Drosophila melanogaster: one gene and its partner. The protein of the gene in region 1 purifies or fractionates together with the protein of each later gene. This does not show direct contact. Each region holds a gene or a part of one and is shown on either strand. Other genes may lie near its edges. The genes, in order: mtm and Sbf.

Region 1 (5,088 bases):
GCAAAAATGTGCGACAAATGCTCTTTAGATCTGCAGACTCCATCTGGTGTATGCAAGGTCGCAAGACCAGCATGACCTCCCGAATCAATTGGGTGTGGGTCTGCGACCACACTGGAATATTCAGCATGTGGATCACCTTCAGAAGAGCCTTAGGGGTTTCGCTGCTGAGGACGCCGCTTTGCATCATTTCAGTCAAGCGCAACTTGAAGCGCGTAAACAGCTCCTCATCAATGAGAAAGTGTAGCTGAAAGAGGCACGTGGACAGAAGGCGAACCTGCTCTGCGCTGCGACACCAATTGATGTGATGTTCCAGGTGCGGAATAAAGTTCCTACACACAAGCGGAGTGAAGAAGTCGCGTTCCAAGTTGATGCCCACCGAGAGGCGAGACAAGGAGGTCAAGGGAATGACTTCGTCATCAACTTGTGACTCGATTAATTGAAGAGATCTCGTCAGCACGGCCTCCACGACTGCCTCGGAGTTTGGTATATGCATTTTGCGCAGGTACAGGTAGCATCTACTGAGATCATCGATCTCCAGTTGGTGTACATAAGGGGCCAACTTTGGGAGCACGTTAAGCAGCACGCGATCCGTGATGGCATCTTTACTTGCCTGCTCCGCGTCGTGATAGATGTTCCACAGCAGTGAGATTCCCATCACCACATGGGAGCTCTGCAGGCCGTCACAGCTCTCCAACACATCTAAAATCTGGTTACCCGTCTTGGCCTCCTCCAGTCGGGTTAGAAGAGCATCCTGTTCCCGTGGCACGCCAAACTTGTCTTGGAGATCTCCGTTCACCAGCTGCGAGTGCTTCCTCAGTTTTTGGCCCAATGCCGGCAGCAAGGCAGCTGTTTGGATGGGCGGCTTTGCGCCAATGTTAACGTGCCGTCGCAGGAGCTGAAGCTGACGCACTCGCAGAAGGTATTGTAGGTACTTCCATTGTGTCCGCGGCAGGTGGTTCAGATACATGCCACTTTATCTCACGCTTATTCAGAAATCGTTGAATAATAACAAAATTACGCCGTATAAACATGTGAGTGAATTTTTGGCGATCAGCTGGTGTCGGTGTTGCCATGAAATCCTAATTTCCATTATACTGAAACCAATAATGGAATCAATGTGTAAAAAAAAACTTAAAATAATTTCTGAACTGTGATTAGCGGTATACAAGTTAGATAAGTAATTACTTAATTCGTAAGTAATTTGTTTATTTCGTCAAAAGTTTCATAGTGGCAACTCTAGTTTTCAACAGGTTGTTGACGAGTTGACATTTCTGTTTGTAAGCAACAGCTGATAAGCAGCTGACCCTAAATAATTTAATAGGCTAGAGCGTTATCGTTGTTAAACAACTAAACAATGGCATACACTGATCCTGCGCAACGAAACCAGGTGACCGTGCTCCAGGTCGGCTATTCTCGCCAAGAAGAAGGAGACGAGTCCGCCATGCGGGCTAACTGCACATGCACACTGGTCCGCTGCCGGGATGGCACCAACATAATCGTGGACACACTGACGGCCTGGGATGGAGATCACCTGCGTTCGTTGTTGGGCCAGCAGGGACTAGGCGTCGATGACATCCACGTGGTGGTCTGCTCTCACGGACACTCTGACCACATCGGTTGCAACTATCTGTTTCAGAAGGCACGAATGCATTTGGTCGGCGCATGTGCCTCACATCACGACCTCTACATGGACCACCTTGGTAGTGGTAATCCAGACGAGCAACTGGCCCTAGATTCGAATGCCGAGGTGGTAGTGAGGCGGTCGCCAGGACACACCCTCAGCTGCGTTTCAGTTCTTGTGGAAAATTCCCAGCTGGGTGGACGGGTCGGTATCACCGGAGATCTCTTCGAGCGTCGCGAGGACATCGACGATGAGAACATTTGGATGGACGCTGGAAGCGAAAACGAGAAGGTGCAGCGCGAGGAGCGCAGTAAAATGGCACAACTGTGCGAGTTTATAATCCCAGGACATGGTCCGATGTTTTCTGTCACACAATCAATGCGCTGTAAACTTAAAGAAGACGCCACTTCTAACACTTAATTTATTAAGCATTAAATACATATGTTAGAGATTTTTTTAAAAGCGGAATTGTTCTAGCTTTCCTTGATTACCAGTTAAATGTCTGAAATAAGTTGATTAATTCCAATACATAAAAATCAAATTTTCCGCCACTACATAATGTCCCTTTGGTACTTTTGTCGGAGGAATGGGAAATTATTCCAGATGATTTTATATTGCGTGAGTTGGCAGCACTGCTGCATGAGTTTTGGTGAATTGCATTTAGCTAACAATTGGAAAAGAAAACACAGCTGCAACCAGCAACACAATAGCCAAACACCACTCGTGTCCATCCGAAAATGGATCCCTCCGCGAGCCTGGCCGACAAGTTGGCCTCCAAGACTGCCAGCAGCAACTCTCTGGACAGCAGCTCCAAGTCCAGTTCGCTGGGCTCCAAGCACGGTGGCGGAGAAAACGGCATTCTGCGGGACACGCCCTTCGGCTATCTGGAGGGCGAAGAGGACCAGGACCAGAAGAACGACGTGACCTACGTGTGTCCGTACCGCGGCCCCGTCTTCGGCGCTCTTACCATAACCAACTACCGTCTGTACTTCCGGTCGCTTCCCCTGCGGGATCAGGAGCCGCCCGTCGTCGTCGACGTGCCTCTGGGCGTGATCGCGCGTGTGGAGAAGATTGGAGGTGCCACGTCTCGCGGTGAGAACTCGTACGGCATCGAGATTTTCTGCAAGGACATGCGAAACCTGCGATTCGCCCACAAGCAGCAGAATCATTCGCGGAGGACGGTGTTTGAGAAACTGCAGGCCAACGCCTTTCCGCTCTCGTACAGTGGGCGCCTCTTTGCATTCGCCCACGCCGCGGCCAACTCTGTGAACGGTAACGGAGGCTGGGACGGCTGGGCGGTATATGAACCGCTGGCGGAGCTGCGCCGCTTGGGCGTTCCCAACGATATGTGGCGGGCGACCAAGCTAAACGAGTCCTACGCAATTTGCGACAGCTATCCGGCCGTGTGGGCTGTGCCCAAAGCGGCCTCCGATGATTTCCTGAGGCGCGTGGCACAGTTCCGATCGCGCTGCCGCCTGCCGGTTTTGTCCTGGATGAACCCACGGACTCAAGCGACCATTACAAGGTGTTCCCAGCCGCTGGTGGGTGTAAGTGGCAAGCGAAATTCCGACGATGAAGCATACCTAAGCTTTATCATGGAGGCGAACGCCCAGTCAGACAAGTTGACCATCATGGATGCGCGACCAAGCGCCAATGCGATTGCTAACAAGGCCAAGGGCGGCGGCTACGAGTCAGAGGACGCGTACAAGAACGTGGAAATCAACTTCCTCGACATACACAACATCCACGTGATGCGGGAGAGCCTACGCAAAGTGAAGGAGGCTTGCTTCCCCACCACCGACGACTCAAAGTGGCAGACGGCTATTGACAACACACTGTGGCTAAAGCACATTAGGTGCATCCTGGCCGGCGCCGTTAGGATTGTTGACAAGGTGGAGACCATGAGCACCTCCGTCGTAGTTCACTGCTCCGACGGCTGGGATCGCACAGCCCAGCTGACTGCTCTTTCCATGTTGCTGCTCGATCCGCACTATCGCACAGTGCGCGGTTTCGAGGTTCTCATTGAGAAGGAGTGGCTCTCCTTTGGCCACAAGTTCCAACAACGCATTGGTCACGGCGACAACAAGCACTCGGATGCAGACAGATCTCCGGTGTTCCTGCAATTTATCGATAGCGTCTGGCAGGTTAGCCAGCAGTTCAACAACGCATTTGAGTTCAACGAGCACTTCCTGATAACCATCGTGGATCATCTGTACTCGTGCCGCTTCGGCACCTTCCTCTGCAACACGGAGGCCGAGCGTGTGGCCGAAGGTTAGACTGATTGCTGTTTGCATGGGCTTGGAAGTAATTTTCACATTTATTGTAGATCTCAAGCACAAGACAACATCCCTGTGGACGCACATCAACTCGTCGCTGGACCAGTATTTGAATCCACTCTTTCCCTCGTTCACGCACGGCGCCGAGCTAGTGCTGCGTCCGATTGCCAGCGTGAGATCGGTCCGCTTGTGGAAGGGCCTATACTGTCGCTGGAATCCTGGTCTGTGCGCTCCTCAGCATGGCTGCCAGCGAACCCGCGAACTGCTATCCAAGCAGGACCAGCTCTTTAAGCTCGTCAACGAGCTGCGGCTCAAGTCGAACAACCGCAGCAACAGCATGCAGACAACTACGCGACTGGCCTCGCCTATGCACTAATAGTATTGCTTTTTTATTCCCCCTACTTGTACGCATATGTAGTGCACGTATTGTGAACTACGTTCTAATTCCAAATAAAAGTTTTTCTTAAATGGAAAACTAGTCGATTCAACATTGTATCATTGAACCACATTATCGAATCTAATTAAAGTGTTAAATGTCTGAGAATGTTTTAATTATTTCATGAATAACATCATATAGTTCAAATCGTATAGCGTTTTCGCAGCTCAGTGGAGCTACTTTTATATGTGCCTTAAACTAGTTTGGATGTCAAAAAGATACCTAAACAGGTGACCAACTGTTGCACGCTCCTTGTGATTCATTCATAAACACCGCTTCATAGAGGCGCCTGCGCGTTGGACTACGCACGTTAAATCCCGAATCCCACTTTTGACACCACAGGACACAAAACATTTCGGCTTTGCGCCAAAATTAAATCACAGCTGCCTCAGTACGACATCGCACGTTCATTGGGACAGACGTGTTCCGATTTCCGGTAGGAAAAGGGCAGGTGTTTGTAAAATATCAGGAAATGCGTTCGGAACTCTTAGAGTTCCGCAATAGATATTAGTTATGCCTACTAGGATATGTGTGCTGTTTGGGCTTCTGTGCCTCGCAAGCTTATGCTGCGGTAGTAACAAGCCAGGAGAGGTGCTCCTGGTTATCGCCTGTCCCCCGCATCCTCAGCAGGCCAGAAGTGATTGTTTAGCCTTATCGCACAACGTGCTGGAGCAGCAACGGGCACTGGAACTGGCGGGGATCTTCCCCGAGGACTTTGTCCTGAAGGTCCATGTGATGCATGAGCTCTTTAACTC
Region 2 (5,284 bases), on another chromosome or scaffold:
AGTCCCAGCATCACGCCCTACACCACGATCACCGGCAATTCCGAGTTCCGCATTCGCTCAGCCTTCGAGGCCATATTTAAGAAGTCCACCACGCTCCAGGACGTACAGCCGGATCCGGAAACGGGTTCCCTCTCCCCGGCGGCAAGCAACCACGAGGTGGAGGTGCCGCGAACTCCTAGCACTCCCGGTGTTTCCAAAAAGGTTCAGCTGGTAGGTGCATATTTTCTATTTACCGCATAAAAATTGGGTTTTGGGTTATCTAAGTTGCTGAGTAAACCGGAAGAGGAAATCTCTCTTTTCAAGCCTGCACAAAGTAATTGGGATTTTGTAACAGATCAAATTATGCTGGTAAGTTACTCACTAACAACATTCATATCATATCATTTCATTCATTTTCTCGGAATATGTGTGTTTAACTTACTTTAATATCTGCAAGCAAGTAAACCCTATTTCAACGGAATCAAATAAAATGGTAAGCCTTAAAACGAAGTAAAATTATAAAATAAGGGTAGTATCCACGCATGAAGTAGTACTATGGGCCTTTTTGAAGTAGAAGAAATACTTAATAATTTCAGTGGAAGATTGAAGTAGAGTATTGCCAGTTTAAAATATCTATCTATACATAATTTTGTAATCTCAAGATTAATGTTTAAAAAGCCTGCCGAGAAAGATTTCACGGATAAAGCATTATCAAATAATGGAGATAGTTCAAAGCAATCACCGAGCATTAAATTCAAAGCAAATAAAGTGGCAGATGTAAATAGATCTCCTCAGACGGCCAAGAGGTGCTCGAAAATAAGGTTTGCTAACGAAGTTGGAGTAAATGGTTCGCCCACTCGAACGAAATGTAAAATAAAACCAGAAAATGTATTGGGTTACTCTATAGAGGATGTGGATGAAACAACAAATCCAGAATCGCTGGCTGAGGTATGTAAAACTGATGCAAACTTTTGATTAATATCTATTGTCAACGAGCTTACAACGCATTATGAATCATTAACTCTCAAAGTTAACATACACATTTTCTCTCCTATCTTGTAAATCCCAAATAAGAGCATTCAAAAGCCGAAGTCGGTGCGATTGGTACGTTTAGAATATTTTAATTACATAACCCCTTATTTCAATCAAGATATAATATCTACCGATTTGATTGATTTACAGCCCAGGGAACGTGTTATTGACATGTCACCGGAGGATCAGAAGCAATGGGAGCTCGAGGAAATGTTGAAGCCCATCGATTTGCAGAAGGCCAATGTCCACATCGATCCCTCGCCATTTCAGCTGGTGGAACGCACCTCCATACTCAAGGTTCACTCGTTGTTTTCCATGGTGGGTATTAACCACGCCTATGTCACCAAAATCGGAAGACTTGTTGGTGTCGTGGGACTCAAAGAAGTAAGTCTTGTTTGATATCCTTGATGATTATAACAATAACACATGTTTTATTAAACAGTTGCGAAAAGCCATCGAGGACATTAATAGCAATAGTTTCGTGCCCCCCACACGGGATGAGGATGCGGATGAGAAGCCGGCGGTGGAGAAACCTCTGCTGTCGACGAACTCTAGTGATAAGGCCGTGGACATGACCGTCACCTCCATGGACTCGGCACTATCCAATTCCGAGAACTGTTCGGACATTGAAATGGAGCACATAAAGCACACGGATAAGGGCACTGTATCGCTCACCATGCCGCCACAGGAATCTAAGCAAAGTCCATCGGCGGACAAAAGTAACACAGAAAACGGAAATCATGCTTGAAACAAGATGATCGGCCATCATAATAGTTAATACGATACGTATACGTAATATGTTTGTAAAGATCAGCTAAACACATCTATCTTAAGTTACGTCTTACACGAGTTAGTCATCAATGTTATTATGTATTTATATCTCGTTAGTTCATAATGTGAAAAATATCGTGATTTATATTTAAGTTGAAAAGAAAATCAAGTCACCAACGAAGGCTGCGTTTGATTTTTATTTATATACTGGGGAGTATTAATGTAGTATACAAGTTTCCTATTTTTCCAACAGATTAATTATATTATAATTTCCCCAAAATTGTTTAATGAATATTTAAGGCTAAGTGGAAATTAATTTTGCCATTTTCCAATTGATCTTTTAAGTTCGCGCCGATTAATTTGTAGCGCAGTCCGAAACTATCGATACATTCAAAGCGCCAATCAAATATCGACACATTCAATCAGCTGATGCAGAAAGTGTTGGATAATTCGTGAAAATTATTGTGTATTGCATCTATCTTTTTCTATGCGAACTTAAAAATAATTATTATAGCCCCGAATTCTTTGAGATTTGCTGGCAGTTAGCGGGGATTTCGGCTGCAGCCGGCTGCGAGGTGTGTGCGCGGATATATATATATAGATTGGCCAGTCCGATTCCCGGCGAACGATCCCACTTTGCGTGGCGGGGTGTGGTTAAAGAAAAAAGAGTGAAGACCAAGACTCGTAAAGCCTGAAAAACGCCTCCGGGCGCTATAGACAATACAATAACAATTCGGCCCCTCGATCTCCGTGGAGCTAATCATTTATGCCGAGCGCAGAGACGGAGCCTAATTAGCATATCAAATTGGATGACGGCACTGGCGAATAGAATCCATCTGCCGCTGTCCCCTGCTACAAGAACGCAACAGAACAAAAACAAAAAAAAAATCAAAATAAAACATCTTCAACTCTTTGTTCTCCTAGATTTGGCTAGTAAAGAGCCGTAGGATCCTAGACGACTGGCCGGCTATGTGGTGGGCAAGATGTCCCGGCTCGCTGATTACTTCGTAATAGTCGGCTACGACAGTGATAAGGAGAGTGAGTACATCCACATGCCCATCAGCCATAATTAGCAATTCTCTGACATTCAACAATTTCCCTTTTCCCAGAAACTGCCAGCAATGTGGGCGGCCAGCCGACGTGCGGCAAGATCGTTCAGCGCTTTCCCGAGAAAGATTGGCCGGACACTCCGTTTATCGAGGGCATTGAATGGGTGGGTGCGCTTGAAACATTCCTCACTTAATTCGAAGCATATCTGAATTTTAACTTATCATTCCGACAGTTCTGCCAGCCGCTCGGCTGGAGTTTATCGTACGAGAAGCAGGAGCCCAAGTTCTTCGTCTCTGTGCTGACGGACATCGATGCCAACAAGCACTACTGCGCCTGCCTCAGCTTTCATGAGACGGTGGCCATCACACAGACGCGCAGCGTCGACGACGAGGATGAGACCATCGGCAGCAGCAGGCTGCTGGGAGCCACACCCTCATCGATGGATGGCATCACAACGACATCCACGCCGGCTTCCATTACGCACCACAGCGTCATGTATGCACCAAAGTGTCTGGTGCTTATATCGCGTTTGGACTGTGCCGAGACCTTTAAAGTGAGTTTAAAAGTCAGACCACCTAAGATACTAAATTAAGCCATTATCTTAATTTACAGAATTGTCTCGGCACCATATACACGGTGTACATTGAGAACCTGGCGTATGGATTGGAGACACTCATAGGAAACATTCTGGGCTGCATCCAAGTTCCTCCAGCGGGTGGACCGCAGGTGCGCTTCTCTATAGGAGCAGGAGACAAGCAGTCGCTCCAGCCTCCGCAGAGCTCCTCCCTGCCCACGACTGGAAGTGGAGTCCACTTCCTCTTCAAGCAGCTGGGCATCAAGAATGTGCTGATACTGCTTTGCTCCGTGATGACAGAGAACAAGATACTGTTTCTTTCTAAGTGTTATTGGCACCTGACGGACAGCTGCAGAGCTTTGGTGGCATTGATGTATCCCTTTCGGTATACTCATGTTTATATACCAATTCTGCCGGCTCCACTCACGGAAGTGTTATCCACACCTACGCCATTTATTATGGGCATACATAGCTCACTGCAAACTGAGATTACGGATTTACTGGATGTTATTGTGGTGGATTTGGATGGCGGCCTCGTTACCATTCCCGAGTCGCTGACGCCGCCTGTTCCTATTCTTCCATCACCGCTGTGGGAACAGACCCAGGACCTGCTCAGCATGATCCTGTTTCCAAACCTGGCGCAGGCCGATCTGGCGTTTCCCACATTAGAGCGGCCTTCAGCTATTGCTAAGACTGACGCCCAGATTGATAAGGAACTTCGCGCCATATTCATGCGCCTTTTCGCTCAGCTGCTGCAGGGATATCGCTCCTGCCTGACTATCATTCGGATCCACCCAAAGCCGGTGATCACCTTCCATAAGGCAGGATTTCTCGGCGCCCGCGATCTGATAGAGAGCGAATTCCTGTTTAGGGTGCTGGACAGCATGTTTTTCACGACGTTTGTCAACGAACGAGGCCCTCCCTGGCGATCCTCCGATGCCTGGGATGAGCTCTACAGCTCAATGAACGAACTGCTCAAATCGGAGGCGCAGAATCGAAATCTCGTAGGTAGAACTCAAAGATTCAAGGGATATTTTAATTTTACCTTTCCTTCCTACTTTCAGATACTCACACATATCCAGGAATTGGGACGAGTTCTATATGAAAATGAGGGCACTCTGGCTCACATCAGCTATGCCCAAAAAGTACTGCGTCCGCCGGAAGGCGCATTCCAGCGTATTCATCAACCAGCCTTTCCGCGCATAAGTTCGGAAAAGGTTGAGCTTATCATACAGGAAGGGATACGAAAGAACGGAGTGCCACAACGCTTTCATGTAACACGTAATCAGCACCGTATCATTCCGATGGGACCCAGGTTACCCGAGGCATTAGATGTGCGTCCCAATGTCCAAAACTCGGCTAGGCGACTGGAGGTGCTGCGGATCTGTGTGTCATACATCTTTGAGAATCGAATTACAGATGCCAGAAAACTGCTGCCGGCTGTGATGCGCACCCTAATGCATCGGGATGCGCGCTTGATCTTGTGCCGCGAGTTCTTTGGATATGTGCACGGCAACAAGGCAGTTCTGGACCATCAACAGTTTGAATTAGTTGTGCGATTCATGAACAAGGCGCTGCAAAAATCATCCGGCATTGATGAGTACACAGTGGCTGCGGCTCTGCTGCCCATGTCCACAATCTTCTGCCGTAAGCTCTCGACTGGAGTAGTGCAATTTGCGTACACAGAGATACAGGATCACGCCATCTGGAAAAACCTGCAATTTTGGGAGTCTACTTTCTTTCAGGATGTCCAAGGTCAAATAAAGGCGTTGTATCTGCTTCACCGACGTCAGAACGAGCATCAAAAGGAGGCCAACTGTGTGCTGGACGAAGTTCCTCTAGAGGAGCCCACGGCGCTTGAAATTACAGCCGAGCAGC

What was found.
Region 2: the proteins of mtm (region 1) and Sbf purify together in Drosophila melanogaster (affinity purification with western blotting; one study listed by BioGRID). This does not show direct contact.

What each region holds. Positions count from the first base shown.
Region 1 is NT_033779.5:6,034,082-6,039,169, reverse strand, and holds mtm (myotubularin), read left to right. Parts: upstream 1-2,154; 5' UTR 2,155-2,358; coding exon 2,359-3,892; intron 3,893-3,947; coding exon 3,948-4,273; 3' UTR 4,274-4,439; downstream 4,440-5,088. Other genes in the region: CG31643 (uncharacterized protein), read right to left, coding at 1-967; CG9117 (uncharacterized protein), read left to right, coding at 1,355-2,041; CG9109 (uncharacterized protein), read left to right, coding at 4,847-5,088.
Region 2 is NT_033777.3:11,793,917-11,799,200, reverse strand, and holds the start of Sbf (SET domain binding factor), read left to right. Parts: upstream 1-2,252; 5' UTR 2,253-2,357; intron 2,358-2,706; 5' UTR 2,707-2,765; coding exon 2,766-2,820; intron 2,821-2,891; coding exon 2,892-2,995; intron 2,996-3,064; coding exon 3,065-3,385; intron 3,386-3,444; coding exon 3,445-5,284. Other genes in the region: ClC-a (chloride channel-a), read left to right, coding at 1-210, 304-348, 437-472, 658-927, 1,054-1,083, 1,162-1,395, 1,454-1,759.